Linked DNA regions of Lytechinus pictus. The protein of the gene in region 1 interacts with the protein of each later gene in a pairwise test. Links are inferred from orthologs where the notes say so. Each region holds a gene or a part of one and is shown on either strand. Other genes may lie near its edges.

The links.
Region 2: the proteins of ralBP1-associated Eps domain-containing protein 2-like (region 1) and ralA-binding protein 1-like interact in binary tests that used the Homo sapiens proteins (3 or more experiments, as listed by UniProt). The link is inferred for Lytechinus pictus from reciprocal best matches to the Homo sapiens genes REPS1 and RALBP1.

What each region holds. Positions count from the first base shown.
Region 1 is NC_087248.1:18,750,986-18,768,751, forward strand, and holds the start of ralBP1-associated Eps domain-containing protein 2-like, read right to left. Parts: upstream 8,585-17,766; 5' UTR 8,367-8,584; coding exon 8,214-8,366; intron 6,394-8,213; coding exon 6,264-6,393; intron 1-6,263. Other genes in the region: uncharacterized protein LOC129258351, read left to right, coding at 12,426-12,551, 14,017-14,158. UniProt on the Homo sapiens protein: May coordinate the cellular actions of activated EGF receptors and Ral-GTPases.
Region 2 is NC_087247.1:48,438,259-48,455,703, forward strand, and holds the start of ralA-binding protein 1-like, read left to right. Parts: upstream 1-9,810; coding exon 9,811-9,823; intron 9,824-14,218; coding exon 14,219-14,422; intron 14,423-15,048; coding exon 15,049-15,167; intron 15,168-16,382; coding exon 16,383-16,513; intron 16,514-17,092; coding exon 17,093-17,152; intron 17,153-17,445. Other genes in the region: ralA-binding protein 1-like, read left to right, coding at 2,211-2,344. UniProt on the Homo sapiens protein: Multifunctional protein that functions as a downstream effector of RALA and RALB. As a GTPase-activating protein/GAP can inactivate CDC42 and RAC1 by stimulating their GTPase activity.

The DNA.
Region 1 (17,766 bases):
ATTAAACAGGGAACAATGAAGAAGAAAATTAGAATGAGAGGGACTGGAGGGGGAAAGAGGGAAGGATGGAGGAAGAGGAGAACAACAAAAACAATAACAAGAATAAGAGGTACTGAGCAAGTCAAACTCAAATACACACAGGGAGGGTTAATGAGCAATATCATAAAAGGATACAAACTTCTGAGCTGAAAAGGTAATTGTCTGAAAAAAAAAACTTTGTCATAGTATGTATACAGCGTTGTACATGTAAATGAAAAAAAAATTGTTTGTTCTCAAAATAATGTCATTCAACAATAGCCTGCTCAAGTGCTCATCGCATATCAAAGGAGGAAAAAGATATTGGAAGAAGGATGAGGAGGCAAAGAAGAAGACGACAACGACAAAGAAGAAGAGGAAGAAGACAACATAGAAGAAGTAGACAAAGAGGAAGATGAAGAAGAAGACAAAGAACAAGATGAAGAAGAAGACAAAGAAGATGATGAAGAAGAAGACAACGAAGTAAAAGAAAAAGACAAAGAAGAAAAAGAAGAAGAAAGTGATGATTATGAAGATGAAGAAGAAGAGGAAGAAAAAGAAATAGAAAAAGAAGAGGAAGAGGGAGGATGATGAGGAGGTAAGAAAGAGGAGTAGGAGGAGGCAGAAGAGAAGTAGGAGAAGAAGTAGAAGATGAGTGATAACCAAAAAAGCCTATTAAATAACATAAGATTGTATGTTTTATTTCTATTTATCATTTTCATTACATCATCTGTACAAAATAACTGTACATACAAAAATAAAATGAAGTTCAATGCACATGAGAAGGTTTTTTTTTTACAAGATCTTCACCAACAAGCCTTTAATCCAACTCTTGGAGCTTGGTGTAATCTCTGCAGCTGAAAATAGGCAAGGAGAAGCGTAGAGGAAACACATACATGTAGCCTTGGCCTTACCACAGATCCTGAGCCCTATCCCTTCTGCGAATTCATTTTATGATGCACTCAGAATTATTGATCACACAGTGGATGTACTAGGATATTAATTTGTTTTACGTGTGTACCTTAATTCAATTCTTAATTTCAAAGCAATCTGAATGAAGGTCCTGTATATCTACATGTACTGGTATGTAACAGAATTCAAATCCACTTTTTGTGGGGGTGGACTTGACCTTTTATCCATTCATGTGTACAGTATATCACTGTATAATATGAATTTCAAATTCACCTTCATTCAAACATGTGGGTCTATCGATTACTTAATTCATTCATTCATTTTTAATATACTAAATTATTCAGTTATTTTTCAATGATATTATTTATTTGGGCTGCATTTGAATATACAATTCTTTATTCATTCATTAATTTATTTATTCATTCATTCTTTATTCATTCATCAATTCAATTCCAAAAATACTTTGTTATTAATTAATCAATTCATTCGTTCCTTTTTATACAGTCATCAATCAATTAATGATTGATTTTGATAATTCACTCAGAAAGAAAATCAGATTATAGATGGATTACCCACCCCCCCCCCCCCCACACACACGCACACACAAATGCTTAAAGAAATTGAGGCAAAAGCACAATTTCATTTGAAAAAATCATAGTAAAAATAAGGATTGGGCTACAATACTCAAAAAGCTTCACAAGAAAATGTAGTGTACATGTAATGTACATCTCATCACACAAGAAGTGGCATTGACTTGAGTACAATGTTCTCTATCATGTACACAAAGGAACATTAATGTCTGTATCAATTTATACTCTGTAGGACACACAAATTTCACACATGTAATAAGTATTGGGATCAAAGTCCCAGGGGCTAATGACATTAATGAGCATTGAAGTGGTTTCAGTGATTTGTATTCTTTCAGTACATGTACAGTTTATGCAAAAAGTGAGGAAATTGTCTACTGTTCATAATTTCTTCGATATTAAAGTACAATATGAATAAAGATGAAACTGATAGCTTCACCTCATTTTTGGCTGCATACATACATGTACATGTATGTACACTTTTCTTATATTCAAGGTTACCAAGTAGTTGCTCTATAGCATCATTGGAATGCCCATAAAAAATGCAATCTGATTATTTATACAGTGCGTCCCACAAAAAACGAAACCGAGATTTATCGATGATTTATCATAACTTAATCACAAATACAATAGACAAATTACCTACCATTGTCAAGCTTAGAATCTCTTCTTTCATCTGAAATTACTTAGATTATTTCTCCTTCACGCATGAGTGAGCAAAAACAATTTGAAGAGGGGATACCAAAAAGTCATTTGGCGGGCTGTATCTGGGTTTCATAAAGAAAACCACATTTTTAAAAAGTTCAATATCTGCTCTTTAATTTGATACCTCAATTACAGAAAATGGTCAAGAAATAACAAAGTTCTGGTTATTTGAAATAAGGCTTGAATTTCAATAATTTCATAAAATGAAGAGGTTTTACAGGCTAGGGTTCAAACTCACTCAACACTCCGTTTTGTTGATGATCAGCCATGCATTAAGTCTTTTGTTAACCATGCGATAGCTTCTGTTGGAAACCGGTGAAAACACGTTTATTTAATAAAAATTATGGAAATACAAGCATTGTTTAGAGGGAACATAACGTTTTTACTTCTTGACCATTTTTTGTGATTAAGGTATCAAATGAAAGAGCAGATATTGAACTCTTTGGCATGTGATTTTCTTTTTGAAATTCAGATTTTTTGTTCACTCATGCGTGAATGAGGAATAATCTCATTTATATCAGATGAAAGAGGAGATTCTAAGCTTTACATTGGTAGGTCATTTGTCTATTGTATTTGTGATTAAGTTATGATAAATCGTCGCTTAATCTCAGTTTTGTTTTTTCTGGGACGTACTGTATATACGGGTAGTCTTGAATTTCAGACCTTAAAAAAAAATCAACTTTTCAATCATTTTTTTAATGAAAAATTCATGCATTGCAATTACATGCTATTTTTCAACGATTTGGGTAATTGTCATTAATTGATTAGTATTTATTACAGTATATTTCTCATTAAATTTATCGGGGTTCATCATCACAGTATATACAGTAGGTATAATTAGCATACACTGCACAATATTGTTTATTGATGCATCTTCTATACCGATTTCATACTGACAGCCGAAATGGAGTTACTCCGGAGTCCAGAAGGAGTTACTCCACTTTCTAGGATTATTTCAATCCAGATTCAAAGCGGAATACTCAACCAACTTCACACAGAAGCGCAGTATCGCCTATCTCGCACGTAAAAAACTTAATTCATGGAGGAGTTTTGGCGCGCCACACTTAATGGAAACCACGGAAACGACTGCGGATACACCGCTGCCGCCTGCAGAGCTTGCCAGTTTGAAAGGGGGTGTAATGTCGGTCCGCAGTACAAGCACATCAACTCAATCCGGAGTTCCTCCAGAGTAACTCCACTTCGCCTTCAGTATGAAAACACCTCAAGAAAGTTATGGCAAAGTTAAAGGGTAATCCAGCCTTGGCCATTGAATGATGTGTTGGGAATGAGAAAAATAAATTAAACAGAATGGTGAAAGTTTGAAAGAAATCGGACAAGCAATAAGAAAGTTATAGCTGCTTTAAAATTGAGATCACTAATACTATGTAGATTTCAAATTGGCAACTGGGTAAGTAAATTATGACAAGGGGCAAGGACAACTTTCCCATAGGCCATGTACTTTATTATCAGGGATTTGTGGTTTTCTCCTAAGTACCCATTCCCATGGGGGCAGTAATCTAAATATAACCCAGGTAGTATATTGTTTTATGTCCTCATGAAAGAAAAATATAATTTGAAATAAAACTTTTGGGAAAAATGACATTTTAGCCATAATATGTATTGGAGTACATGGAAGAGTAGTCCTTGCCTTACATCACTATGACATCCCATATGCTGCCAATTTGAAGTCTCCATGGGTATAGTGATTACCAATATTTACAACTTTTAAAAATTCATACCTTTCTTGTTGTTTGTCCAATATTGTTCAAACTTTCACCTATCAACTTGTCTGATATTTATTTTTCTTATGAAAACAAGTTTTTATTTGGGTTGGGTTCACCTTTAAGAAAATACAGTTGCTCACCTCAATTGTTCATATGACTAGTGGAATTTATGATCCTCTGACTGACTACCCTAATATTATAGTCAGTATGTAGAGTGAGAAAAACTACACCATTTCTAATTTCTGAGAAGTCCTCCTAGTCAATTTGGTTTATTTTCAATTGGTCTAATCAATGCCAATTCACCCAATCACAAACCCGTCTACTATCATTTGGTCTACCATCAGTTCGTCCACTACTGTATCCACAGAGTCTAATTGCCACTTCATCCACTCAACATTTTGTCTAATAACCAGTTCATCCAATCGCCATTTTTTAGTCCATATATACAATTTGGCTTAATTGGATTAATATAAAGTGTTAATTGGGTGAAATGAATGTAAAGAAAATTTATATCAGACCAACTGTTATGAGACCAAATGGACATAGACGAACTGGTGATTAGACGAAGTGATTATTGGACCACATGGTTATTGGACCAAATGGTTGTTAGACGAAGTGTTGATGGACGGAATGGCATTTGACTAAATTCAGGTACAGTGTAGACCATGTGATGAATGGACGAGTTGGCAATAGACAAAATTTGGCAATTTACCATCAATTTGATGCAAAGCTCTAAATTACAGGAATTCATGAGGAATGAATGTGGACTGTATACATGTATTGTACATGTACATTGTTCTATGATCATCAGAAAGCAAATGAACATATACCAGCCAAAACAAGTACAAAAACCACAACACCATGGTGCTTCCACGAAGCTTGGAATTTCTTTTTTATAGGAATCAATTAATATAAAGCTACAATATTATTATGATAGCATTTCAACTGTCCATGTGTTTTTCATGCCACAAACCTACCCTAAGAAAAAGGGGAGTTGCCGAAACAGACTCAGACATTTTTTTTTTTTAAAGGGGTGTTTCTCTCTCTCTCCCACTCTCTCTCACATTTTCTTTGGACTTCTGAGAATTTCTATAAGGGGTCATGAGATATCAGGAATTCATGAGTATACCCATCATGAAAAAAAACCATTACATTATAATAAATCATTTAATTCAAAGTGTACACTTGAGTTTTTTTTGGGGGGGGTTCAATTACATCATCTGGGAAGCCTCTATAAATGACAGCTTACAATCAGATGATAGGGGGAGGGGTCTGTCATGAGATACATGTAGGGGAGGGGTACATTGAGCAATGTGCCAGATTAATGAGGATCTCAAAGACAGATAAAACACCGCCAAAAATGATAACTTAACATTTTGGCCAAAACAGAAATATTGGGTGCCAATGAGAAATGGAATGTACATAATTATATGTACATGCATGTACCCAAAAATAGACAAGGAGTGGTAAGTCAGGACTTGGGTATTTTAAATTCAACCCATTGACCCATATCCTGTACTCTGGTTTAATTCAATCTCTGGTCTAAAGTTGTGGTTTGCAGCACTTGGCGGATCCGCCACTGTTCTGCTTGCATGACTCGTAAACAGGGAAGGGGCGTTGGAGTTTGATATCGCACTCCTTTTTTTAATTATTTCTAGGTAGCCCGAGGTGAGGGTTTAAACCCTAACCACCCCCCACCCCCCGCCCAAGATCCATCAATGGTTTGACAATGGAGAGCCAGATATTACACAAATCTTTTTAACATACATGTAATTGCAAGCTCAATCTCTCAGCTTACTTTAGACTCAAATCATTTATACATCAATATCTGGGAATAACAACAAAAATTGTTTTGTTCATCAACAAAGCAGGAAGAAACAACTGAGTAAACAAGGAAACCTGATTTAAATAAAATTTTAATATTTTTCAGCTTTCCATGACTTAAGCACAGAGTTAGACCATGGCCTTTTAAAGTTAAACTGGACTTGAGAATACAGACCCTACATGTACACTTCTGAATTCAATAATTCCCATTTTAGTACCTGTAGGGACCATCCGGTTCCAAAAGGCAACAACAACAGTGACACAACACTTGCTCCTGCAACAATTGCTCTGGGCTTTATTTCGTCTAAGATGTAGGGTTATGGTTATATTTAGGGTTGCAATAGGGTTTTATGTTAGAATAGGGTTAGGTTTAGAATAGGGTATAGTGTTCAATCCAAGGTTGAAGTTGGTCATTCCATCTGTGTGTCAAATTCAAAGCGGAGCAATCATCGCCAGAGCAAATGTCTTGGAACCACAATAACAGTGAATAACTCACCTTGCATGACAAAATCCACAGAATTAGGGAGAGGAAGACCATTCTGCACCATTGCAATCATCTTGAGTGCGCAATAAAACTGACTCCTGCCGTAGTAACCTAACCTTCCTGCTCCACACAGCTCATTAATCTGTATTGAAATACATACAATTTAAGACAATAAATCCATGATTTACATGGTTTAAACAATCACATAATACATTGGGTGTACTCCGATAGCCATGGTTTATTAACCCTCATTCATTAAAGAAAATAATTATGTTAATCCTCCAGCAAAAAAGGTGTTGAAATTAGTATTGTTGTATTAAGAGAAAACATTTTTTTTTTTAAATCAATGACTTTATATGTTACACATATCATCTTTACCAGACATATGGAATCTCCCATGAGAGTGAAGACTAAAATTACATGTATTGTGCAGACTAGGGTTAAACCTAGGATTAATTATCAGAATAGGCCTACTATATACTATCCAATTGGTTCCTAGATTTTCCCCATTTTGCTTGCATGATGACTTGAAAATTTTGAAGATATTATGTGCTTGCCCGCCTTGCCGTTGGCTTCAGAGGTAGTGTTTTATTTGTAATTTGTATACAGTTATTGTTTGCAAAACTTCATGCAAGAATGGAGACAATCAGTCAGGTGCTAAACAAGAAAGTCACCAGCTAATGATGATATCCAATCTCTCGTACATGATGGAGGGACCAAAAGCTACATTCTTTGTTTACAAAACATAAAACTATGGCAATATTAGTATTTGAACAGATTTTTAAACTCTAATTTGTGGTAAATATTTTAAAGATTCTAAATATGAAAATCCAGTTGTGTTTTCCTAAACACCTGATTTTACTGTTGGCATTGGAAGGGGTGCAGGAAATTGCATTTCCTGCGCTTCAAACACGGCCATATTGTTGAAAGAAAATAAAAAAATTCAAGAGAGCTCTGCAAAACTGGAAATAGTTGCATGATTTTATGCATTTTTGTGATTTATTTATTGGTGCCACTGTACTGTAGTAAGTCTGAATGGGAATTCTTTGTCACAATGCAGTCACAGTTCCATAAATTGCAAGTGCACATTTATCCATTAAAATTGATGTGCAAATGAGTGGTGCATCCATGTAGCTTTATCCTTGATAATTTATATTCCTACAGATAACAAGCATGAGAATGGAAAAATTCAATATCTTGAAATGCAAAAGTCCCATTGCGTTTAACCAAGACTTTGAGGTATCTTATTTAGCATTAAACAGGGACAAGCAAAACTTTCATCTGGGTTTAATTTCTCTTTTCTTGAAATCAAAAATTTCCACAAATTAGCTTTTGAAATTTGTTTTGTTTTGAAATAAATAAACCTTTTTATTCTTTGTTTCTCCTCAGTTATACAGACTAACAATAGAGCTTTAACTGCAACTGGTGGCAGCCAAATTAGTTTGCTAAAAAAAGGGGTTAAAAAATTGGCATTTTGCCATTTAAGATTCGACTAGCTACAAAAGTCCAAATTAATTTAAACTGCTTCATGAAGAATATGTTGAAGTAATTAAACATTGAGAATATAACTGAAAAAAGAACCACTAGAAATGATTTCATACATACATTACAGTCACATCACATCCACTCACACTAATTGCGAGGTTAGTATTAGTATACTAATACTTACTAACACATTAGTATACTCATCACATCACATGATTCATACTACTAGTGTGATGATTCAAAATGATCTCCACATTTTCTGGCTTCGTTCAGACGTCAGTCACGTCGTCATGTTCATCATCACTTTCAAGTTTCAGTTTTCAAGACATGACATTGATCATGTTCAATCGGTTTGATTTAGTAACATGGTTATCAATTTTGAAAATAATATGCATCGAAATATATTAATTTAACATTAACAAACAGTCAAAACTAGACAAACTTAAAGGTAAATGACTAATCCGAGTTCCGACATACCCTCTGAATTACGTCGTCCGAGAGCTGCGGGCTCAACCTGAATAAACTCATCGCTCGCTGGGCCGCCACTCGCCCGGAGCTTTCCTTGTCGGATTTGCTGAAGAGCTCGGGGTAATATTGCTGCTCTGCGGGACTCAAGAAAGAACCCTCCATGGCTGATATTAAGATTCGAAATCAGGGCCTAAAGAATTTGGAAACAAGAGAGAGGCTGAAAATCTGTAAAACCTTATGTAAATATCACGAAAACCTAGAAATTGATGGGTAATCACACCCTCCTTTTCGTTCCTTTCGCATCACTGATGGCAGCCATATTGTCGGTGACGTCAGAACAAGTCCCGGATGAGTCACAAAGATGTTAATTCAGTCTGGCTATCTTCCTTTCGAACTTTGAATCTCAGTTGATATGAAGTTTTGGTCTTTTTAAGTAAATAACAACAAAATCTTACAAATGGGGAGGATACTCAAAAATGTGTTTATCAAAGCGAACAAATTATAATTACTAGTCGATCAGAAGGGTGTATAAGGACAACTGGGTCCATTGTAATTTGAAAATCATGAAAATATCGCTTGGTGTACTAGCTAGGCGGGGTGTGGGCCTATCTGTCAAAGCATAATAAACATTTTCAATCATAAGTGATGACAATGTTGCTGCTTTAACTTCAAACAGAATAGGACTATATATCTACATGATACAGGGTATAAGTATAATCATTTACCTTTATTAATATCAATAGATGCCCCCCCCCCCCCGAGTAGTTTTTAAAGTGGTAATAAAATTATTCAAGCTAATTGATTTGACTAATGCCTTTCCAATCTAGGATTCGCATGCAGTGGATCAAAATGAGTTAAAACAGGGAGAATGAAAGAGATATTATGACGATGCCTTGTTTTATGGAAAAAATGATTATCCATGATCATGATGATGGCTGTGGTCACAAATACAACTTGCAAAAAAATAATGGTAATAAAATCATGGTGGTAACGATAATATCTTTACACCATTATTTTATGGTGATGAAGATGATTGTGATGACGATGATGATCATGATCATCATCATGATAATGATTTTTTTTGTCCTTATCTGAGAGGTATTTATTACATTGAAATGAATAAACAAACACAAACAATATATACAATTAGTTTCACTTTTCACAAGCTTTTGATTTCATTGTACTGTTTTTCTGTTATTTTTATCTTGTTACTCTTTTCAAGAAATCTCAAATTAATGACTAATTCTCTCTTAAAATCTGACAACATAGAAAAATAACTGAATTTTTTTAAAGTGAACTGAGCCAACACATAGACTCTATAAATCGTGTATTGTGCGAAAACCAAAATTACGTTCAGAAAAGCCATGTTTTCATTTTCAACATCGTGGCCAATCAATAATGTTTTCTATGAATATTCACATTAGACTGGATCTTAATGAAATACCGTAGTTTCTGCCAAAATAAATTCACATGTGGACAATGCAACAAAATATGATCTAGAGTTTCAATTTGTTTACAATGGTTATACAAGTCATGTCTGATGTGATATTCCATCGAACTAAATTCTCTTTACGATACGGCAAAATCCGATGCAGCAATTTGAAATTATATTGTTTAACTCTGTTATCAAGTAATTTTCCAAACTTAAATTTCAGCAATTTGCTCCAATCATAATCTTCTGCAAGTGAAAGCCTATCTTGCCAAAAATATAACACCATTGGGTGTAAATTCTTTTTTTAATCTACAAAATATGTGTAGAATTGTTTTTGATATTGTAATGTCAATTGAGTTACCGGTTTTAATTTGAATAAATTTATCGTTTTGTATTCGTTGATCACCGTGATTTTCAAGCTGAGCAGTGTTCAACTAATTGAACCAATATGTTGGAAAATTGGTTTTAATTTTAGCATATTGAAATAAGATACAAAGAGAATTCATCGACAGTAGGTCTGTAATACTTTCGGAGTTTTTCCATGATCCATTTTCAATTAAATGGCGTACTTTTACTAAACCCTTATCGGACCATTTTCTGAAATACAATAACCTGTTTTCATGTTTTTAATTATTCCATATGATTTCATTTTCAAGTGAAGTTCAGCCAATAAAGTAAGTAAGTCTGTATAAAATGTAGCCGGGTAATGAATATTTTATTTGCATAATTTAATCATGTCTATACTGGAGAGCAGAATGGATAATGGTATACCGCCTAATTTATGTAACCAAAACTCACAAATATATTTCCATGGTGGTTCATCCCCTCTTACAATTTTTGGTAACCAGGAAAGTGTGAGTGATTTCAATCTAGAATTTATGTCAATCATACCTAATGATGGTTATGATGATGGTATTGATGATAATGATGATGATGATGATGATAATGGTGATGATGATGATGATGATGGTGATGACGATGATGAAGATGGTGATGATGCTGATGATGATGATGCAGTTGATGATGATGCAGATGATGATGATGATGATGGTGATGATGATAATGATGAAAATGATGACGACAATGGTGATGACTGGTGATGATGGTGATATTAGAAACAAAATCAGTGAATTAATGGAATGGATCGGCTTTATATTATAACATTGATGTACCCCACATTGTCACAAAATTATATTTCTTTTTTTTTTGTAAAAGATCTAATTTTTGCCGCTCTCTTACTCCATATGATATATTTTTTGATTCACTGATTACACCAGTGCGGGCAGATCCTATCCGTACACCGTTTGAAGAATGACGTCGCCCTCTCATGGTAAGAAATTTGCTATCATCATGATTACTAAAATAATCTGTCATCGTGAACTCTGAGCTCCAGCTACGGGGGTGGTGGTAATAACATGTCAGGTGCTTCATTTTGCGATCAAGTGGTAATAACGACCCCTCGCTGTCATGTGACCAATGTATACACGTGACAAACAATAAAAGTGGGCGTGTCATAGTGGGATGCGACGAGCAATTTGCTTTGACATTGTTTTGAGAAAATCAACAAACAAATGTTATTTTCATGAAAAAGTCTATGTACACAGATGAAAGTTCCCGAACCATAGTTTTGTTGCACTCTCGGTGCTTTCTCCTCCCCCTCGATCATTTTTTCTTGTTTCTCCATCTCCTGCTCCTGATCTACTCCCCCTCCTCCTCCTCCTCCTTCTTCTTATAATTATTATTCTTCGTCATCTTCTTCATTATCTTCTTCTTCTCTTCCTCCTCCTTCTTCTTCTTAATTATTCTTCTTCTTAATTCTTCTTCTTCTTCTCCTCCTCCTCCCCCCTCTTTCAGTCATTCTTCCATTTTTTCTTTTCACCTCTAACCAGTGGCGTACCTAGGATTTTTCACAGGGGGGGCAAAACCGTCCGCCAAAGAATTTGACAAGCAAAAAAAAAAAAAAAAAAAAAAAAAAAAAAAAAAAAAAAAAAAAGGTATTTCAAGCTCGTCAGGGGGGGGGGGGGGGGGCAGGGATACGTCCTTTGCATGGGTTGTGGCTCGTCAGGGGGGGCAGACTGCCCCCTCTGCCCCCCCCCCCCCCCCCGTAGGTACGCTAGTGCCTCTAACCTTTATTTCCTTTCATTTTGTAAATATATATACTGTAACTTTGTCTCCGACACTGTATCAATATTCTTTCGCTCTAAATATTTCCCCAACCTCTCCCTATTTCACATATACTTTATCAAACAATTTCTATGAAGCAAAAATCTTTATAGTTTCTGAATCAACAACGGATGTAAACAAAGCATTATCGTTCATTCGTTCAGTCAAATTCCACCATCAATAGAAAAAATACAGCGATTATTAGAACTTTGGAATATTTACTTTGTTCTGTGCGGCATTATTTAACAGTAAGTGTTCAGCACGCATATCAGAGGCCCCTACTAGAGAATCTCTTGAAAATTTATAGAGCTATGCACGTCACGTGCAGTCTGTTTTACATGTAGGAACTGACAATACAATCAACAGATCAATGTATGTTTTGTTGCGTGATATACCGGTTTAATCTCTCATTAATCCAAATTAGCCTTGATTTCGACTTCTAATCTGGATAGCTTCGTCAACACCACGCGGGACAGATTTGCCAAGAAAATTGACATTGTGTGTTTTGGCATAATACTCGGCGGAATATAGTGGCACTACGATCTGTACTCTACCTTTTAGCAGGTTATAAGTTTAAAACTTCTTCTGGAACGAACTCCCTGACGGAAATAATTTGATGAAATAAAATGGATACCATGTCGCGGAGACTGTGCCATGTTTTAGCGATTGCCTTGACGGTGCTAGTAACTGATTCAGACGGTCATCTCTGCATTATAACTCCTCGACAAAGAGGAGATCTCGATATATCGACTGTAAGTTATACACTATAAAAACAAATCAGCCATCATTCGTCAGATCAAACGGGCCGCAACTGTTTTCTCTACACGGGCCGCGGAAACGGGGGGGGGGGGAGGGGCTGGGTAGGCTTCAGCCCCCATTTTTTTCCAAAACCATGTACAAAAACGTAAAAATGAACATTGTGTGATTTTGTGCATGGTCGGCCCCCACATTTGGCTCAGCCCCCCCCCCCACCACCACTTTTGAAACCGTTCCACGGCCTCTGCTTTTGTCATAATTTTACTGTATTCTAGTCAGAAATGACGGTGTTTATAGTAAGATTTGACTAGAAAATAGTGAAATATTAGGAAAATAACAGTTAATAATTGTACCCAGATGCCCCTTCCGATGCCCCCTCCATCATGTCGCTTTTAACTGGTTTGTTTAAGAATGAACGATAATGCATGCAGGGTAATGTGAGAACCCGGTGGGGATGCACGTGCCCAACCCTTTTACCACAATAACCACTCTATGAAAAGTGCCCCATTTTCTTCTTTTGTTAATGAAAAGAAATTCTAAAACAATGAACTACTTTTCGGTTCCTTTATTTTCTTTAAAGATATTCATCTAATCATCAGCAGCAGCAGCATTAGTGTTATTTTTTACATGTCCATTATAGAAAAAGTCAATAATTTCCATTTTCTATGTCTTGAGCTTTTATTTTAGTTTGAAGTGTTTTCATTCATCTATCGATAATACTATGTCTGTTGAAAGCATTGCAAGACTGCAAGTATAATTGAAATACATGATTGCGATGGTGATGTGTACATACATTATGTTGAGTATAATAAGCCGACCCATCTCGCTGTTGATAAGTTAATTGGTTTTATCAAAAGAAGAAGATCATCAGCATCAGCAATATACGGAAGAGAAGGTAGTCCTGTAAGTCTTCCGGTCGCTTCTTCTTAGGGAAATACAGACGATACAGCTTTGAGGGTACGCTAAAGAAATGGATCACGTGCTACATAGTGAAGATTGGACCAATGAATGTCCAATGTTCTTTTAAATGTATTTAGACTAGGTGCAGTGACCACTGACTCGGGAAGATTGTTCCAGTCATTGACAACTCTTTGACTGAAAGAGTGCCCTCTGAGATCATTTGCGAGACAGTATAATTATTTCCTTTTTATAGTGTCCTGATGGCAATCGTAATTGTGTAACAACTAAAGAGATTCAAGATTTGAGATCACAAAAACATTTATATCTTTAAGAGAACCAAGAACTTTAAAATCTAACGAGATCTCAAATCTTGAATCTCTTTAGTTTTTACACAATTATGATTGCCATCAGGACACTATAAAAAGGAAATATACTGTCTCGCAAAATGATCTTCTTCTTTTGATAAAACCGATTAAATAAGTGGCTACCCATGGTGAATACAATTTGTTATTTTAATATAATATCATTACTTACTAACCAACGTAATTGTTTTCCATTTAGCCCGGAAGTAGAACCTGTACCCGGCACCAAAGCCCTTGCGGAGGTCAGCCCACCGAAGCGCCAAAGATGACGTACATGGGCGGGAAAACCGCTCTCATCAGGTTCCAACAAAACTTCAACCATTACGAAGTTGGATTGCCAGGTAAGAATGAATCAAGCCATGGGGACTAATAGGATGAGATGAAAAAATAACATAAAATACCTATCACAAAACACTCTGACAGAAGACTTCATTGCATTGGGACCACCTTTCAAGACTGATCTAGAACAGGATAGTGGGGCATGGATCCGGGGTTGACCAGGGGTAGTTACAAAATGAGGGAGATTTTCTCATATAAACTTTAGTGACAAGCCAAATCATGCATTCAGGGTGGGGGAAAGTTATTATACCTTAATACCCCCATCTCTTGACGCTAGGGGTTGGTTCCCAAATTTTTATCACACTTCTTATCGTTTTTCCCCCTCCATGGGATCAGTGGCGTAACAGGCGGGGGGGGCAGGGGGGGCAAGCTGCCCCCCCTGGCGGAGCTCACCGGGAAAATAAAAAAACGGGAAAAATAAAAAAAAAAAGGGGGGGAAGAAAGGGAAAGGGAAAGGAAAGAAAAAAAAGGGCAAGGAAAGGGAAAGGAAAAGGGAAAAGAAAACTAAGAAAAAACACAAAAAAGGGAAAACGGAAAGATAACGGGAAAAGGAAGGAAAGAAGAACAAGTGAGAAAGAACAATTCTCCCCGATATACAAATACATTAGCATAATTAGTAAGACAGGGAAATAAATTAAAGATGACAAAAAGGCAAACAAAAGCGGGATATAAAGGCAGAATGGAATTAGCCAAAATCTAAATTGGAAAATAAAGAATAGGGACAAGATATCGTACACTACCGGGCTGCCGAGGATTGAGATAACGAGCGGGAAGAAAAATGGATGGAATATAGCATAATGTCGTATGATAATCTTGCTAAATCTCCAAACGCTCTGTCCAAGAGTCAAGACCCCGTGCAGTGGGGGCTCTTCATCTGTAACCTTTAATGGGTTCTATAACGGGCCCCTATATGGACCCTTCCTGCATTAAGCTTTACGTTGAAGCACCGGCATACCGGGGGGGGGGGTGGTTCCACAGCCAAGGGGAAATAAAAGAAAATAAAGGAGGCAGCGAAATGACATGAATGAAAAAAAAATATATGACATGATATTTGCTATAATGATGTAAAAATCGATCACATAATTCGAATTTCATTTTAACAGGCCATTTTTTTATGGCTCGCTTCGCTCGCTGACGACTTTTTACAAATTTTCCCATATTTGCTATGGTGTGCCCCTCACAATATTTGGATGGTTACGATAGTACACAACTGCATTGAATTTATGTGTTGTGTGAAAGCTATATAAATATACACGCAATTTGATTAAAATAAGTGGCCATCTGTAAGGTTTAAAATGGCTTTGATATCAAGAGGTTCCGGGGCTCTGCCCTGGACCCCACCCATAAAGCACTGTCATATGGATGAGTTTGGACCATGGCCCCCAAAAGTTCTACAACCAAACAAAAAAAATGAGGAAAGAAAGGAAAGTGTATTATATTTTTCTGAATATCACGTTAAAATCTATCTTCATGTTAGATTCTCATGAAAAGGTGATTTTTTATCTCGCTCGCTTCGCCCTCTCGGGACCTATATTAAGCTACTTCTTGCCACAAGCGCCATACTCGGCCCCCTCGAGCATATAGAGCTTCACCCTGATGCTCACAATCATAACAAAAATCCTGTTCAACGTGGCGTACAAAAAAGAGAGAAAAACGGTAAGAGAGGAGGGTGACATATGATATCTTTTTAACATTATGTCAAAATCTATCACAAAATTGGATTTTTGCAATAAAAATGTCAAAAAAATTTGCTCGCTCGCTTCGCTCGCTCGCTTATATATATATATATATATTTGCCCGATACGCCATATCGCCCCCTCAAACTTTTTGCCTTATGACGCCATTGCCCGTTCCATGATATATGACCGGGAAATTTTTGGCTCTTGCCCCCCCTGGCCACCGACCTCTGTTACGCCGCTGCATGGGATAGGGGACCAGCCCCATCCCTAGATCCGCCACTAAGCACTGGCGTACAATAAAAATACCCCATAAGGTGGCACGACATTTGCTCCTGCGATAATTGCTCCGGGTGTACTTTCGTCTAAGATTTAGGGTTAGGGTTGCAATAGGGGCTTATGTTAGGTTTAGGGTTATAGGTTTAGGATAGGATATAGAGTAATACCTAGGGTTGAAGTTGGTCATTCGATTAGTACGTGGAATTTAGAGCAGAGCAATTGTCGCCGGAGCAAATGTCATAGGACCAACCATAAAGCCCTCTGACAGAATTCCCAATTCTTTTGAGATCATGTTATAATTTTTTTTTAAAGATGAAGAACTTAATTTACTAAAGAAATAACATTGTCTTTCTGGTGCCTGCGATTTGAGTTATGGTAATGTGACTCGGCAACCAAAACCAAAGTTTTCGTTAATGTTGCCACAGTTATAGAATTGCCATTGGCAAACGGGTCCTATGTCTCGCGTTTTTTATCCGAAATGTAGAACTCAAGTGTAGCAGAAAAAGTTGCATTCAAATTCAACAACAAAACAAATATCAGATGCAACCTGATTTTCAGCCCCTCAGAACCGCCCATTTTGGACGTAGGGCCTCTTTCATAAAACTTGTTATGATAACAAATTTACAATAACAGTTTAAAGCTACTGAAATAAATCAATTTGATTGGCTGACAATAATTTTCTTTTAGAAATTGCCTATTTGATCAGTGCTTCCACTTGCAAGGAAATTTCCTTGTTTTAGGGAATTTTAAGGATTTTTTGACTCCACAAGGAATTTTTAAAGGAATTTTGACAATTCAAGGAATTACAAGGAAAAATGAAAAAAAGTCAAGGAATATTTAGGAATATTTAAGGAAATCCAAGGAAATCTGAGAATTCAAGGAAATTGATTGAATTTCGAGGAAAATAAAGAAAAAAATAATGATGAATCTAAAAAATGTTTAAGAGGTTCGAGCCCTGGTCACGTCTTTCGGACGGTGACGTTAAAGGTCGGTCCCAGACGTAAATAATAATATCTGATTGATACACGTCTGACAAAACTCAAATACACACATACACACACACACATTTAAATTTTCTTATATGCTGGCTGGTGTGCTATATACTTTCTTTTTCCTTGGCATGCTAAGACATGTATTTTATGTGCGCACACAGTGATGTTAGTTCTGTTTCTTTACTTTCTTCTCTGCCTGATCATACAGCAACTATTAAAGGCTTAGCATTTTTCTGTTGATACATGTATGCAACATTCTACATGATCAGTGAAACAACTAGGCTTGTAACGCAAAAATATAGACAGGTTTTCTCCAGACTCTAATTCAAGGAATTTTGTCCAAATTTAAGGAAATTTTGGAGCTCAAATAAGGAATTCCAGTTTTAAGTTGTGGAAGCACTGTATTTGATATCATAACAAGCCTTTATGAACGGGGTCCTGATCAGAATCACAAGATATATGACTGTTATCAAATCAAGGAAGTATCGAAATTAGGCGAAGTAGTTTTCATATTCCATGAATTTTCACTCGATGTAAACGATGGACATTATGCGATGTAAATTTCAGTTTTCGGAACTGAAGTGGCTACCCTGGGTAAATATGCCGTTATTATTATTATTATTATTAAATTTAGTCAAGAAGGAAAACGTGTTTTTTTTACAT
Region 2 (17,445 bases), on another chromosome or scaffold:
CTTAGTCTAGGCAAGGATTGTGCAATAAAAACCTTTCAAAACACACAAGAAACACATTTTAAAGGAATCAGTAATGTTATTTTTTTTGTTAATCACAACCCTGGTCTGGGAGCCCATGGGTTCGGAGTAGTTATGGTAATTACCAATCACTTCTTGACCTGATAACCCAGAACATATAAAGTATATTGTCTTCATTCTGTTGGGAAATAATTGTATTCTGTTTGGTCGAATGCATTAAGGAAATTTGATTATTATTTGGAAATGAGCAATACATATCTCATTATGCAGGTTTCTAACAGCTGCTGTCCATCGTCACTAAATATGGATTGGAAATTTGTTTTATTTCCTTGAGAATTGTGGTTCTTGCTCCTTTTCTGTGTATGTCTTCTACTTGTTTGATTTGTGTTACAGACTACATGACCCTTCTTCCCACCTCGTTTTCCCCAGCTACCCATTCCTGTTTTTTTTTATAGTCGGTTTATATTATATAGAGAGCTCTACTCTGAAACCAGACATTAGCCAATCACAAGCAACTTAGCGGAAAGTCAAAGTTTATGTTAAATGCATGTTGTGTGGTAAAATCATCAATATTCGTGAGCAGTGCTATAATTCCAGCATAAGGCCTGCATACATGGAGTGTGAATTGCGTTAAATTTCTTGACGTTGGCTGAGAAAATATCGTGGGGGTTAAGAAGACAGTCTGACAAAACAAGAGGATTAGAAACTGTAGTCTAAAATCGTATGAACTTGATGGACAGTTAAATGTTTAGCGGTCATGATTAATCCTCATCAATTTCCGATGTTATGGTTTATTGCTGGAAATTATTCTAAATAATGGCTTGATGTAATGATTATTTCAAAATGAATATGAATTTTATAATTTTTTGGCTCTGTAGCAAAAAGTTGAATGCCTTTGACCTGCAGTAACTTGTAAGGCTTCAGGCATGAAATTTTAACATAATTAATTTCAGACAATCATTCATAAGTATGGCTCTCTTAAAGGCATTTAAAAACTGAATTTCAGTTATATTACTTTATTTATTTTATTTGTACATATATCCTCAAATCATGATTAATAATATATTTACATGGTTATTAACCTATTGCCCACTGAATTTGATAGTTCCCTAATAGGCTTTGTACAGGAACTGCCTGGTTTCAGAAGGCTTCGGGTTAATTTTGGGTACTGCACGGGTGTGACATGAGGGATTAGAAAATGGCTTGTCTAAATCTCAGCCTTCTATGCTTCTCAATATACATGTACCGGTATATCATTATTCATGTTATATCTAAGCCTATGATTCAAACTGAAGGAAATATGTTGTAATAGTTATTTTCATTATAAGTGTTGTTATACTGCCAAGTTACACAATATTCCTTAATTAACTCTGTTTACTTATCTAGCTGCTTTTATTTCAGCTGAAAATAATGTTGGTCATGATAGGCATGCACTTATCTTTTTGAAAGGGAATATCCATTTATTGTATTACTGTTGGAACACTTGACTTCCTACAGTTATTGCAGTAGATGGTGTTGTTGATTTTTTTTTTTTTACTTGATTGCTAAAAAGCATTAATGATTGCAAGCAAGCATTCAGAGAACAGACGGCTTAGATGAATTTGTTTGATATATTTAGTAGTGCCTGTATAGTACATTCATGAACTATGGTCACTATGGGTTATGTGGAGGGATATTTCTTTCATGTATGGTCACAATATGAATATGAAATATCAATTGGCCTTAAGAGATATGCATGTAGCTCTAATCTAGATGCATGCTTAGATTGACAGACTGAGGAAAGGAAATTTGACTTCAGATGCACTGCGGTAGAATAATGAGGAAATGTTAATTCATTTCAGAGTACTGTTTGGGGCTATTCTTTATTGAGACCCATGACAGACTAGCACAAATCTAGATTTCCTTGAATATAATTGTATTTGGGTTGAGTAATTTGGAAGCCAAACTCCTTGATCTCATAATATTCCCTTTCGTGTTTCCCTTTTTAAAACAATCATCAATTGTTTTAAGCTACTTTATACTCTTTAACATTTGCTACAAATAGACAAATTTGATTTGTAGACTTTTGTATCATTATTTATTGAATTTATTATAGTTTTGTTTCAAATGTAATCCGACTTCCATTTACCTAGTTTTAACTTCATTCATTTTTATTGTTCTTTTTTTTGTCTTTGTTATTTTTACCCTCTCAGAGCCAATATTTGGGGTACCTTTGGAAGCTGCTGTTGCCAGATCTAAGCTGTATGATAATGTTGATTTACCAAAGATCGTCAGAGAATGTATCGATTATGTGGAGGAAAATGGTGAGAATTTCTTTTTCAACTAGCATGCTCTTATTTCAAGGATAATATATTTGAGCCAAAAGGTAAATATTTGGATTTTCAATGATATTCCAGGATTCGGTGAATATTAATGAACATATTTTTTTTTTTGGGGGGGGGGGGGAGTTTAGCAGATTAATCTGATTACTTTTGCTAACAGAAGCCAATTCAGTAAGAATAATCACAGTTTACATTTACCATGATATCATCAAAAGAATTCTGTAATTAGAATGATTAGCCTACATTCAGCATTCGCCCCTCCAATGTTGTATGATGTACACTTAAAGTCAATTGTTTTCTACCGTCCTGTCACATACATTTTCCATAACTAAGATCATAGGATTTTATGAATTGTGACACCCTTTCCTCACCTCAAGTTCATTACAACAATATTCAAGAACCTGGTGTCATCTTTCCTTTTACAAGAAATATTTAACACTTAAGATTTCCCCCTTCTAACAAATGTGCCATATGGTTACACCCATCAATGTCTCTGAAGTGTGTCATATCTGAAAATAGCAATTCACCTTTAATGCAATATTACTCATAAGAACAAAATACCTACTGTTAAACCTTGGTTTATTTTAGAAGATACCAGGATAGTGTGACTTCATGCTAGTTTTCTTTTTCCTTTTTTTTAAACATAAATATTAAGGCACTATATTTCTTAGTTAAATTGAATTTTTTTACCAACTTATGCACTTTTGTAACTGCCGAATATTGACTTAGTAGTACAAGTAATTATGGTTTATTAGAATGATCATTGTAGCTGTAGGCTGCATTATAATCAATCTACAAGTTAAAAAAAGACATACCATCATAAAGAGTGATAAATACATGAATTACAATATTTCGCACTAAAAAATCACAAGATAAAGAATGAAGGAGAATTGGGACAGACAAGTGTGGAGAAGAAGGGCAAAAATATTAAGAATAATGGAAGGCGCGAGAAGAATATGGAGGATAGAGTGGAAAAGGAGTGAAAGGTATAGCTTTTAGAGAGGAAGAGGATACAGTTCTTCTCATGCTTGCAGGAGAAGAAAAAGAGATGAAAATAATTAATGGAGCTAAAGGGGAGAATAGAATAAGAAAAGAGAGAGAGGAGTTAGATAAATTATATAGGCAATCAACAGAAAGGGGGAAGGAAAAAATAGTTGTTTACATTATTCATGGTATCGTTTTTTTTTGTTCAAAATCAATATCAGCTTTCAAATTTCAAATTCAAAAGTTTCCATTATCATAGCGTCTAATTTGGAATAATGCACAAAAGGTAAAGAATATCAAAACAAGTTTCATCAGGAAGTATTTGGGTGATTGCAGAATATTAAAATTAGTCGGTTTGATCAAAGTATTATAAAATAAAAATACCGGTAAGCATGGATTGACCATGAACAGGCATGTTGTCGAACGTAAATGACTAAATGAATAAATATACTGCCTGTAAGATGAAATATCATGAATATTGATTGGATTATTTGATTCCTTCTTTCTTTTGTATGACTGGGATGGGATGGTATTTATGAACCTGGTGTTTTTTTAATGGATTTGTAAATTCTTGAATTGGCAATATATTTTAGGTACACTGCATGTATCTGTTATAAATATGTAAATAAGCAGAACAAATAGTTACAAACATAAAGAGAGTATAAAATGAAACCACTAATCAAAAAAGGAGAAATGCTAACATTAGAGTGATTAATAAAATACATTAATTATTAACATGTAACCTGTAAAGTAACGGCTTGCATATGCTATTGGCAATGTATCAATGCACACTGCCGGTGCCGCTGTGCGTAAATACATTGAGTGCTTGATTAACAGTTATATTTATGGATTGAAAATTTGTGTCACCAAACTACAGTGTTTATTTGTGATAGTATAGAAAGTAGAATAACAACCAGCTGGTAACCTCAAAAAGTAGGCAGGGCTGATTTTAGGGATTAAATTCAGATCCCAGGGCCAGCAAGGTTAATTGTATTTCAGAAGTTCATATCATGGACTGTATTATCAGTTTCATCGGTTATCTGCACACAGATGTGTCACACAAATCAAATATCGTTTCTCGCCATCAGTCAATTACGATGTACATGTACATAGTTAAAAGGGCATATTGAAATGGTCATTGAACTACTGTACATGTTTTTATTGAATGACAAAAGATGTTTAAAGATATCAAATCAAGGATACTTGTTGCATTTTTGATAATGAGACAATTGTTCTCCTGACAATTGTTTCTCCACTAATTTATAGATATAAGGGTAGGATTAGAATTGTGATAAGTTTTTGGTTCAGAATCAGATTATGATTGGGATTCAGGTTCAGGTTGGATTCAAAGCTTGGGTTTATGTTGACTTAATGGCCCGAATTAACAAAGTGGTTTTGAAAACCCACGGTTGAATCCATGGTTTATGCAGATTCCCTGTATAAATTACGCTTAATTTAGCGCGTGTATTAAAAATTCCAATGCTAATGCGCGCTTTTGTCACAGTGCGCCAAATTGACGCCTGTTACCATGGTTAGATACGCTATTTTATTAATGAGTCCACTGTTTGAAGAGTGGACTCATGAATAAACTAGCGTGGATAACCACGGCAACAAGCGTCAATTTTGCGCACTGTGACAAAAGCGCGCATCAGCATTGGACATTCTTTAATATACGCGGTAAAATAAGCATAATTTATACAGGAAATCTGCATAAGACATGGACTCAACAGTAGGTTTTCAAAACCACCTTTGTGAATTCGGGCCTATGTGTGTGCATTTACAGTAGGAGTAATTGTCGCAGGAGCAAATGTCATAAAACCGCATTTCTATACCCCGACAAACAAAGTTTGAAGGGGGTACATGTACATGTACAGTGTATATAGGAATCTGTATGGTTGGTCGGTCCGTTGCAAATCTTGCACATGAACTACTTCCTCAGTTTGAACTACTTCCTCAGTTTAAACCAGTTCTCACACATGTTGGTTTTGGGTAAAGATGTGCAAGACACATTTTTCGTATGAGTCGGAAATTGTGTTGCCATGGTAATAGCATATTATGGCAAAAATAAGGTGAAAATCTTGCGCATCAAACTACTTCCTCAGTTTTTTAACCAATTCTCATGAAATTTGGCACACACAATGGTCTTGAGGTGAAGATGTCCAAGACTGTCTGAATTTTTTTGTTTCGGAGTCTGCCGGTGTTGTGCTGGTCCGGTATCCTGATAAATGAATTCACGAGCGGGGAAGTACAAAGAAGTCACGGATTATACAATATTGATTTCATTATATGAAATCAATAATGTATAATCTGTGACTTCTTTGTACTTCCCCGTTCATGAATTCATTTCATTTTTAAACAAACATTCATTTAAAACAAACAAGAAAAATATTATGAAAAGACAGGAAAAAACTTGCCAATGTTTACGTGGCCATCTTGTTCTCTTTGTTAAAAGCAAAGCTACGAGACGCATGTAGAGTCTGCTGCCCTCTATATGCATCTTGTACCTTAGCTACTAACAAAGAGAACAAGATGGCCACATAAACATCGGCAGGTTTTTTCCCGTTTTCTCAGATTTTTCTCGATGGTCACCTGAAATGTAACAAAGAAACCTAGGTTATGATTGGTAAGACTTAATAAAACATACTCTATAATTTGTTATGTATTACATTGTTTTATCGGAATACCGGAATGGAAAAAACAATACTGGAACCCGTGCACATTGGACGGATTCCGGTATTCTGTCCATTCCGACCAAAGCCTAGTTTAAGCAAAGTTCTGTTTTTACTGTCTCTTGAATAGCGATGTAAGTGTGAAGGAAGATGAAAATATTGACAGCTTTAAGAATGAAAATAATTACCATGTCTGACAAGAGGAAAAATCTAGTCAGTAAATTGGCAATCAACACATTATGAACAGGAACAAAGAGTGAATGAAGAGGAGGAAGATCATGTTAATGATGGGGGGGAGTGAAAAGAACAAAAAAAATTCTGAAAACTGAAGTGTTAACTCATCGTTCAAAAGGGCCAACGACTGCGCGCATTACTAATGTTTTAATACTGAAAATACTGGATTTAGTATGATAATTCTATCATTAATACAATATTTTTGTGATACTTTGTCATCCCTTTAAGCTTTGATGAAAACAATATCAATAGTTATTACAGAGTGGGCGGGGGAAAGAGAGTGGTAGACGGAAAAGGGAGAAAGAGGGGGGGGGGGGGGAGGGTGACAGACATAAATATACAAGTATAAAGATATGGTGACAAACGGTAATTTCCAATTCGTCTATTGCCAACTACATTCATTTATTCTACTGCCATTCCGTCCAACATTTCATTTAACAACCATTTGGTCCAATCATCACTTCGTCTAATCACCATTTTGTCTCCTAATATCCATTTCATTTTCATTCATTTTGCACAATTTATACTTAGTTCAATTAGACCAAATGGTATATGGACTAAATGGCTATTGGACCAACTAGATATTAGATGGAATGGCATTAGACTAAATGAAAGTAGACTTATGTGGTGAGTGGACGAACTGATGGTAGACAAAATGATAGTAGACGAGTTGGCAATTGGATGAACTGGCATTAGACGAATTGAAAATAAACCGTAAACAGAAGAGAGAAGACAATTTCCCTTTTCTAGCTAAGGAACAAAACACAAATGAGGTCATGATTCTAATGCATAACAGGTGTATTCTACATCATTGATTATTTTTTTAAGATGTACTAATACCTAATTTTCAGAGTGTCTTTTGGAAAAAAAGATTTAGTAAACTGTATAAGTTTCAGGAGGGTGGAGATGATGGATGCCCCAATCGTCTGTTCCTTTGAAATTTTCAAGATTTCCTGTTAATCCCAAAATGCTTGTAGACTTTAAAGGGGAAATCCAAATATAGCCTTAACTGGGACATGACAATTCAAATCAGTCAGACAACTTTGTTGACTCAAAAGTCAAATACACACCAGAGTTGTGTCACTCAGTTTTTGGTATTCAATCTTTAAGTCTCTCTCTTACTCTGTTCCCCTCTTTCCTTTCTTGCCCTTTTATTTTCTCCTGTTTTTTGCTTGACCTCTTCAACCATATCCTTTTCCTTCACCCCCCCTCTCTCTCTCTCTTTTCCTGTACATGTATATCTCCATTCTCATTTATCTTTGCTGTATTTCTTGTTTAATTAAACTCAGATTTGTGGCTTTTTTCCAGATATGAAGCTGTACTTTTTATTTCTGACTCATCACCATATGATATGAGGCTGCGATTCGGTGTTTCCTATAAGTTACACATGTTTAATTGAGGTCATTCATTACTCAAAATGAAATCAAGGTCAAATTTTGGATGTTTGTAATATTATTTTTGTGGAAGTCTCCAACTCCAAGTGATACTACAAAGCACGACCAAACATTCATTCTACAGCAGAAGTAATAATAAGACTAATTTTACGGCAATTTAGATTTAGGAAGACACACTGAAATATTTCTAGAATAGAAATTGCAGGTTACTGCAGTACTTCACTTCTTCATTTAATGTTCCCTGAAAATGGGGGGGGGGGGATCCTGAACTGTAGTTTGATTGCAATAATTTGACAAATGTGCATACAGTTACACCATTTTCTGTTTTCCTAATCAATGCAACTGACAGTGTGCCATCCCTCATTTATTTTCCACTAGGGTTTTGAAATCTGATACTGAACATGAAGAATTTTTAAAATGTGGTCATGTACATTTCAAGAAACTTCACTACATGTAATTCAGTGATAGCCAAAATTATACAAATCAATTTGATGATAATTTGATTTTCCTCGAGACACCTGTTCATTTGAGAGAGTGGTGGCAGTCATAATTTGAGGCGAGGTAATTTCTTCATTCTCCTAGAAGAAATGCTGGAGGTTCTTTATGATATTATTAACAACTTCCTTAGCAATTATACACACTTGTCAGCTGCTGCCATCTATTGTTGAGGGTGGCAGTAGATATTGGACATAGAGGTATATTCCCCCCCCCCCCCCCCGAGGCAATGAATAATTATTTGCAATATTTCCATTCCTTGCAGATTTCATGAGAAGAAAACAGGCAGTTTGTGTGTGCAATATCATGACATGACATGGGAGAAAAATAGTACAGGGCTATTTCAAATTACACCCTGTTTATACTGATACAAACTACATGTACAATTACAAACATAATTTGAGAAACATCAGAAAAAATGATCGTAAATCAGAATTCCTTGATTATGATGCTTAGTTTTAGTTTATTTCATTTTTTTTTACAATAGTGTTCATTATTGATATATGGCATGTAATTTCATGTTTGTAACATTCATCCCATTGAAGACAATGTTATTTCACCGTAACTTTATGTTCCATATACCCCATTACAAGTTAACTTTCAATTAGTTTCCAACCAATTAATAACCCTAACATCTATAACTCAACCAATGCATTGTACTGATGTGTACATGTAGTATTGTTTATGTATAGGCCTGCATGCCCTTTACATGAAGGCTCTTTTTACCATGCCAATCATATAGCATAATTAGCAAGGCTATTTTTTTTGTTTACTACATGTATTTTATGGCTTACATATAGTCCGACCTACACAATGTGCATTAAGTTTTAATGAGGCCATCATTGTTAGTCATTGTTCAGTATATCAAATGGGCACATCAGGGCATAAAAAGCTGTCACATGTTTCATTACCAAACACATCCTAAAGAAGAATGTTGTGTTTCAATATGAATAAACTCAAAGTTCTATTACTTTCATATTTTCATCTTCTTGAATTGATCTTTGATATTTTTTCATCATCATTTTAATGTTTGTTTCATTTACTTTTTATTCATTCTGTATTTTATTCTTTTAATCATTAAATAGTTTTAATATCTTTCATTTATATTTTTTAGTATTTATTAAGTTTTTTTTTTTATGTGTTAAGTAATTGGGAGTTATTTACATTTTGTTTGTTTATTCTTCCCTAGTTTGAATATTCAATGTTTCAGTGTGCTGAAACATATAAATATTTGTCATTCATTTTATATACTGTAACGATTGTACCCCTTTTTATCAATTAAAATTAGGTGTTGACTAACTTGTCTGCAAGCTAATTATTTGAAGGCCATGTAATGTAGGAAATAAGAATTAAGATGCAAACTGACTTTTTGATCACAGCATCTCAAAGCTGTCCACTTTGGCCTCTCTCTTGTAATTCAAGCTACATAGGCCTTCATAAGCTTCCGTTTACTTGCTAGACTGGTGAAATATGATTCATTATTGAGATATATCAAAGATGAAAATAAGGAAGTTTGTCACAAAAACAAAAATACTTTCCATTTCATGAGTCATTGAATCTTTAAGTTATAATCTGGATTGAAGTATCAATATACAATGTTATATGCGCAATATTTATTTATTTTTGTTTATGATGTTATTTCATTGATCTTGATTTTCTTCACACTTTGCAAAAGAGCTACTTGATAGTATAAACATGGAGGTCCATGGTATAAAGGATGTCTAGTAATTATTGTGTATGTACATGAGAAAAAAGGTTTATTAAAATCATATGATATTTTTCAGGAAAATCAAAATAAGGAATCAAACTGAATTGTTGGAATAGTGAAAACTGAATGTACATGTGAAACACTTCAAATCTCCAAGAAAATTATGCAAATTACTGTTAGTCAGGAACTCAGGTCAAGTTGTTTGAATGCACAAATTATGTAGACAGAAAGAAGTAATATTTTGGCATGAAACAAAGAACATTAGTACCTATGCAAGGTATTTTAGCAGATCAATAAAAGTCATATTTCGCTCGCTACTTTCAATCCGAGACCGACGTGGTGAACATTTGCCATGTTGCCCTCCTCTTTGCCCATAGGAATCCTGTACAAAAACAGAGGGCAATATTGGCCATATTTCTGCTAGTGTGCTTGCACTGTAGGAGCCGATTTTGATCGCTAGTTTCAGTATTTGAGAAATCTGGCTGGAACCAGTTAATGAACAAACACATTGTTGATAATGCGCGGCGCGGCCAGTGCATACACAAACGTAACCCAAGCGCAAGATTTCTACGCGTTGAGTGTATGTGCGCCATGCATGATGCACGACTGCAATGTAACAATTACGTCACAATTGCTTATTAAGGGTTACTTCGCTAAAGTCGTGAATAACCTGAAATCAGAAATAGTGATGAGCAATCAGGCATATAAATTGTTCCAAATAGTAGCTTGAATTACACATTGTACAGCCTCAGGTAATAATAATAATATTGACTGGCTCTTCTTTCGGGAAACATCAAATATATCACCCTTAAAAGAACCATATTGGCCTCGTCTAAAGACTCAGGCCAATATGATTCTGTTGCGGGCGACATATTTGATGTTCCCCTCAAGGCCAGTCAATATTATATAAATATCTGTGCGGGAGCTCTTATTTTTGTCACACAAATCATGTATATTATACTTGTAAGTTTGTCTTCATCTATTCAAAGGTCAAGTCCACCCAAGAAAATTGATGATTTGAATCAATAGAGAAAAATCAAACTAACATAACGCTGCAAATTTCATCGAAATCGGATGTAATTTAAGAAAGTTATGACATTTTTTATTTCGCTTATTTTTCACAAAACAGTTAAAGGGGAAGTTCACCCTGACAAAAAGTTTATTGTAAAAATAGCAGAAAAAATAATAAAAAATATTGCCGAAGTTTTGAGAAAAATTCAAATAATTAAAAAGTTATTAGAATTTCAATTATTTGATTTGTGACGTCATATGCGAGCAGCATTCCTACATAGCGAATGGTAAAAAATCAATGAAATGTCATTTTCTCAGAAAATTGAAAATGGTTTTCACTGTACCTGTTGTATATCAATAGACAAATCATTCCACACCCGATCATGAATAGAAAACAAAATTAAGTCATCAGGAACCATATAAAATTTGAAATTCATGCATTTTATATTACATAACACATGGGGCAGCTGCTCGTTTATGACGTCACAAATCCAAACTTTGAACTCTAATAACTTTCTTACTCTTTAACGGATTTTCCTCAAACCTTCACCAATGTTTTTGACTATTTTTTCTGCTATTTTTACAACCAAGTTTTCTTCAGGGTGAACTTCCCCTTTAAATGCCCAACTCAGCAATATGCAAATGAGAGAGTCGATGATGTCCTTCACTCACTATTTCTTTTGTTTTTTATTGTTTGAATTATACAATATTTCCATATTTACAGATTTGACAATAAGGACCAACTTGATAACCATAAACTGATACAATAATGGTAATTCCACATGTTCAGGGAGGAATCAAATTTTGTTTCACATGACAATGAGGAGAAAATTAGAACTTTTCATATTTCATATAATAAAATACAAAAGAAGTAGTGAGTGGGTGATGTCATCAGTGTGCCAATTTGCATACCAACCAGGATGTGCATATAATTGTTTTGTGAAATTGAGCGAAACTTTAAAATGTTATAACTTTTTTATTTTACATCCGATTTTGATGAAATTTTCGGTGTTTTCCTTGTGGGATTTTTCTCCTTTTATTCAAATCAAATTTTTGTTGGGGTGGACTTGTCCTTTAAGGGAGTCTTTCCTAGGTAAATTGCCAGTTTGTCTACTGCCAACCGGTCCACTGACCACATGGTCTACTTTCATTCGATCTAATGCCATCCCGTCCATCAACATTTCGTCTAACAACCATTTAGTCCAATAACCATTTGGTCCAATCATCACTTCGTCTAATCACCATTTCGTCTATAACCATTTCGTCTCATAACCAGTTGGTCTAATATCAATTTCATTCTCATTCATTGTGCACAATTCACACTTAGTCCAATTAGACCAAATGGTATATGGACTAAATGGCTATTGGACCAACTAGATATTAGATGGAATGGCATTAGACTAAATGAAAGTAGACTTATGTGGTGAGTGGACAAACTGATGGTAGACAAAATGATAGTAGACGAGTTGGCAATTGGATGAACTGGCATTAGACGAATTGGAAGTAAACCTCTTTCCTCTATCCGTCTGAGTTTCATCATAAAGCAGCCATGAACATAAATACAAGGCTTTAGTTTAGAAGATAAGCCATCTAGACTCAAGGAAGGAATCAATGGAGGATATCTCTTACATCTTTGGATTTCATGAAGACATGAAATAGCAAGATTGGAGATTTAGTATTGTTTGCTGACTGTAGCAATACCATTATTGTAATCTTTGATGATTTTATTTAAATGCCCAAGTCATTTCAAGAATTTGTTATAGAATTACTTATTTATAGCTAGTCAGAAGCAACACAACGGCCTTTCTATTGCACAAATTTCTTAAAATCCCCAGAAATTATGAATGAAAAGTCAGCTTATCGCATACAGATCTTCATATTTACTTTTAATCATTTTCCGGTTGATAATTCTTTTTACTTCCAGCACTTTGCATGAGCTTTAATATTTGTCATAAATATCAAATGAATTATTTTTGAAAAAGTAATTCTTTGAATGGAAGAAAATGAAGTGATTCATTATGTTTTACATGTAAGTTTCTATCCACAAAGAATTTTGAAACCTTATAACCCTAGGAACTAGCAAATATATACCGTAAGTAACGGTGTATTAACCGCACCCGTGTATTAACCGCACCCCCCATTTTCGGATGGAAAAAAAAAAAAAAAAAAAAATCATTAAAAAAAAAAAAAATCATTAAAAAAAAAATTTAATCAAACTTACTTTCTATCTCTAATATGCGTATTTAAGAAAGAGTCAAGAACCAAAAAATATCGAAGAATTACTGGTAAAAAATGATGGGAAATCAGCGCTTCGTCACTTATCTGCAAGTTGCCGATATTATTGGCCAGTTCCACACTCCGAGTCACCTCACACACACACATATGGTACCGGTGTTCATTGCAAGTACCGATACCAGCATCAACATGGGGGCTCACCCATACGAGAAGATCGTTCATATCATATTTCCTGCATCACAGCCCCACTTTTGCTTTCAGAATTCTGTCTAGCATTCAATGTCTTGACATGAATTTTAGACAAGGGAATACGGGAAGGTTCAAGATACGAGAAATTTGCGATTTTGTTCAGGTGTTTTTCTTGTCTGCTTTGAACCACTACCGGTAGTTCTCAGTACGTGTGTGGCGGTGTCTTACAGACAGCAAAATAGGAAAAAAAATGCTAGTACCGGTATACCGTATTTTCAATGGGAGCTCTGGGCGGGAATAAAGTGAATAATAATTAAAAATAAAAAGTCGGAAGGAGTGAAGATGGGGATTAAAGATTGATTTTGAGATGATGGATGATAGAGAGAAATGAAGGAAAGGCAAATGAAAGAAATTAATTGTCAAATAATACCAATAATTTGTCAAACAAAATAACTTCCACGGAAAGGTAAAGCGCCAGCTTACGTTGACGTTGCGATAAACATTACACATGCATGTCTTATTCGGCTAGCTGCACCGCGCTGTGCGATCGATTGGCGTCTGAACTTTGCCGCGATGACTAAAAAATGACAACAAAGACAGAGTCACACCATTAAAAAAAGTCAGTTTCATGAAGGTAGGTGCGTTTGTTACCGTGATATAACTTTGAGGGACATTTACGGCAGATACCGGTAGTCATAGTTGCTTCCCTTTTATACCCGCGGCTCATACCCCTCTAAACGGGATTGCCCCAAGCGGCTACGCTCGGCCACCCGACGCGAGTTGAAAACTGGTAGTGGTATCGGGCTGAGATTGGCTTGGCTCAGACCTGTCACCGTGTATAAACCGCACCCCCGACTTTTGATTCTGTCCCGCCGAGAAAAAGGTGCGGTTAATACACCGTTACTTACGGTATGGAATCATGTCAGATCTATTTTTTCTTTTTATTTGTTATTTGCACAGGGTTAGCAACAGCCGGGATCTACCGTCTTTCTGGTGTGAAATCAAAGGTGGAGGCTTTGAAGGCCCAGTACAACAATGACGAGAAAGTGAACCTGAGGGACCATGATCCCACCGTTGTCACTAGTCTCTTTAAATTGTATCTCAGAGAACTGCCGGACACAATCTTGACTTCAAGATTTACCCCAGTATTTGAACATTCTGCAGGTACGTTGGCAAGACATGATTGGGAGGGAACAGATTATGTAAATTGAGAAGATGAATATCATTATCTGTTTGAGAGCGAGCTTTAATATGAACAGTCTCCATACTTTTTTAGGCTTTGCTTTATTTAGGATTCTGTAATTGACTATCCTGTTCCCCCATCATTGTGTCTTTGTAGAAATGAGTAGAGAAAGTAGAAATATATGTAGAGAATAAATGCAGAGCCAGATTCCTGCTTGTAGGCCAAAGTCATAGTGAGATTCACTTTTGCTAAACATCCCCAATATTACATTTCACCTTTAAAGCAAGTGCTTGATATTCAAGATGAATTTATGTAAATAAAGAAAGAAAAAATGACTTTTTTAATGATAAAAATTTATCAGACAGTTTTACGTTTAGCCAGTAAGATACAATGATTTCGCCAGTTTATGATGGTAGTTAGTAGCTGAAACAAGGCCCAGGGTTCCATAAACACAAAGTGTAAAAACTGATACATTTCACAACTGAATGTGCCCGATGCAATCAGTTGTGAACATTTTGTTTACTATCAACTTCAAATCTTTGTGTTACAGAACCCAGGTCTTTTCTGTTTACTAGTTTACCTTTATTTACCCAAATTCATTATCCAGGTCTAACCGCAGCACAAGAGAGAATAGGGGCATTCAAGAAGCTCCTAGCCCAGTTACCCAAATGTAACTACACCCTTCTTTCATGGACAATAGTCCACTTGGCTCATATATTAGAAAGGGTAAGAAAGAGAGTCATTCTAAAATTTAAAATCATTGCCCCAATCATCTTTTGATCTATAGCCTCAAACCTATTTACACTTTCTATGACATTTTGTCAAGATGATACACTCTGCATATATATGTGCTTGTTCACTAGTGATGCTGTGACTTGAAAGCAGAATGAAAATGTTAACATCATTATATTCTTTGGTAATCTGTTAAGTTCAAAGCATCGCTGGCCACTGAGCACAGATTAATGGTGCAGCTTTCTTTCAGTTCATTATTTTCCTAATAAAATTATTATTATTATTGTCTTGATTAAAAGGCATACATGGGGCGTGAAACTATAACTCAAACAGGCAAATATATTTATATTTTTCTTCAGGGGCTACTTTTCACAATTTACTTCCTAAATCTGCAACATTTAATAAGCTTTAACATTGCAAACAATGGGGATTTCCAGGGGAGCGTTTCATGAAAGGACTTGTCGGACGTTTTATCCGACAAGTCCTGTTTTATCCGACAGTTACCATAGTAACAGTGCCTCACAGCCAATCAAAATCAAGGAAAGATGTCAGATCTGACAACTTGTCGGACAAAAATCTTGATGAAACGCTCCCCAGGACTCCTTTTTTTTAGTTTCCAGGGCTCTACATTTTGGGGGCTAAATCGCCCCCAGCCCATGGAAATTTTTCCATGAACCGAAAAGATTGTTCAGGAGTGTTTGTCATGAATTCTGATGTGTGCTTTTTGGTGGAGAAAATGTATTAAATTCTTTTATTTTAATTGTTTAAGCTGTTTCAACATTACCTTTTAAACATTTCTATTTATAATCGTACAGGAAGACATATTAGGGTATCTAACAGCATTTGCCTTGTTTATAATTGGGAATAAATTTTCTATATTGACTTATTATTATCATTATCATTATCATTATTATTATCATTATTATGATCATTATAAAGCTGTGCATTTTGTTTCAGCCAAGCAGTTTGATATATTATATGATTATAAATGCCTGTAGCTATAGCTATAATTAAGGATAGATTTCTTGTGAGGTAAAATAATGAAATTGTGCTGGTTGAAGACATGATAAAATGTTTTTTTTTATGTATTCTTAGTCTTTTATGTGCTTCAGGAGTAGCTTTTGTTAAGGATCATTCCTTTTATTTCACAGCATGGTACTTATCCTCTTTAAGTTAATCATTGTTCCATGTTTGTTGCCAATTTGATAGAAAGAGGATACCAAGATGACAATACAGAACCTATCCATCGTCATGTGTCCTACCTTGAGGATAAGCCACCGTACTATGAACCTGCTATTCACGTATTGGAAGGAGTTTTTCAGTGATGTCAAACTCAAGAGGTATGTACACCATTCAATTTGTTTTATTGCCTGACATACTGAGGGTTATGGGTTCAGTCTCTGATGCAGTTTTGGCATTGTTTAGCTCGGCAGCCAAAAAAACATTAAAATCAAAATTCCAAAATATTACAAGAAGTTTGTGAGCTTTGGTTTCCAAGAAAGTTAAAACGAAATGATTAGTATAATGCCTCACTGTGCAGCCTATTTGGATGGGATTTGGAAATAATTCACAATAGATCTACTGTAACTACAAAGAGACACTTGAAATACATTTGTTGACATTTTGAATAGCCATTCAGGTCCAATGAAATAAATGATAAGATTTCTCTTTTGATAGAATGCTTGATTGATTCCGAATCATCGCTACGATCATATCAGTTAGTTGATGTGTACAATTTGAAAATGATTTGGCCTTTGTTCAAGATGCAAGACTTACCTTTCACAAATTTCATAGAGTATTGAAAGCATGAATTAGGTAGATTTGATAAGTAAAAATGCTCAAATTCCATGATATTGTGATTAAGATGGAAAACGATTTGATGCAGGTTTAATATTTGATGTTATTTCAATCCTATCCAGGTGCCCTAAACCTCTTGAATGGATACCAGGGACTACATTTGAAATTCCAGATACCACAGCGTAAGTAACTATTATGTCATTCATTGTATAGGATTGGGGAAGTAAAAACAATGAAACTAAGAGATAATTATTGCTTGTTTATTGGCTTTCTCCCGCAAGACAGAGGTCAGCTCCAGCTTGTACATTGTATGGATTCTTCAAAACAGAAATGATTACCTTTTTGCTCGAAGTGAAGTGTACTTGTTTATCTTTAGATGCAGAATAATGATTTCATCATGTTACATAGCGGATAGTAGTTATGTACATGTAACTGAATAATTTGTCGAGCACAGTCTTCATGCACGTGTACATCA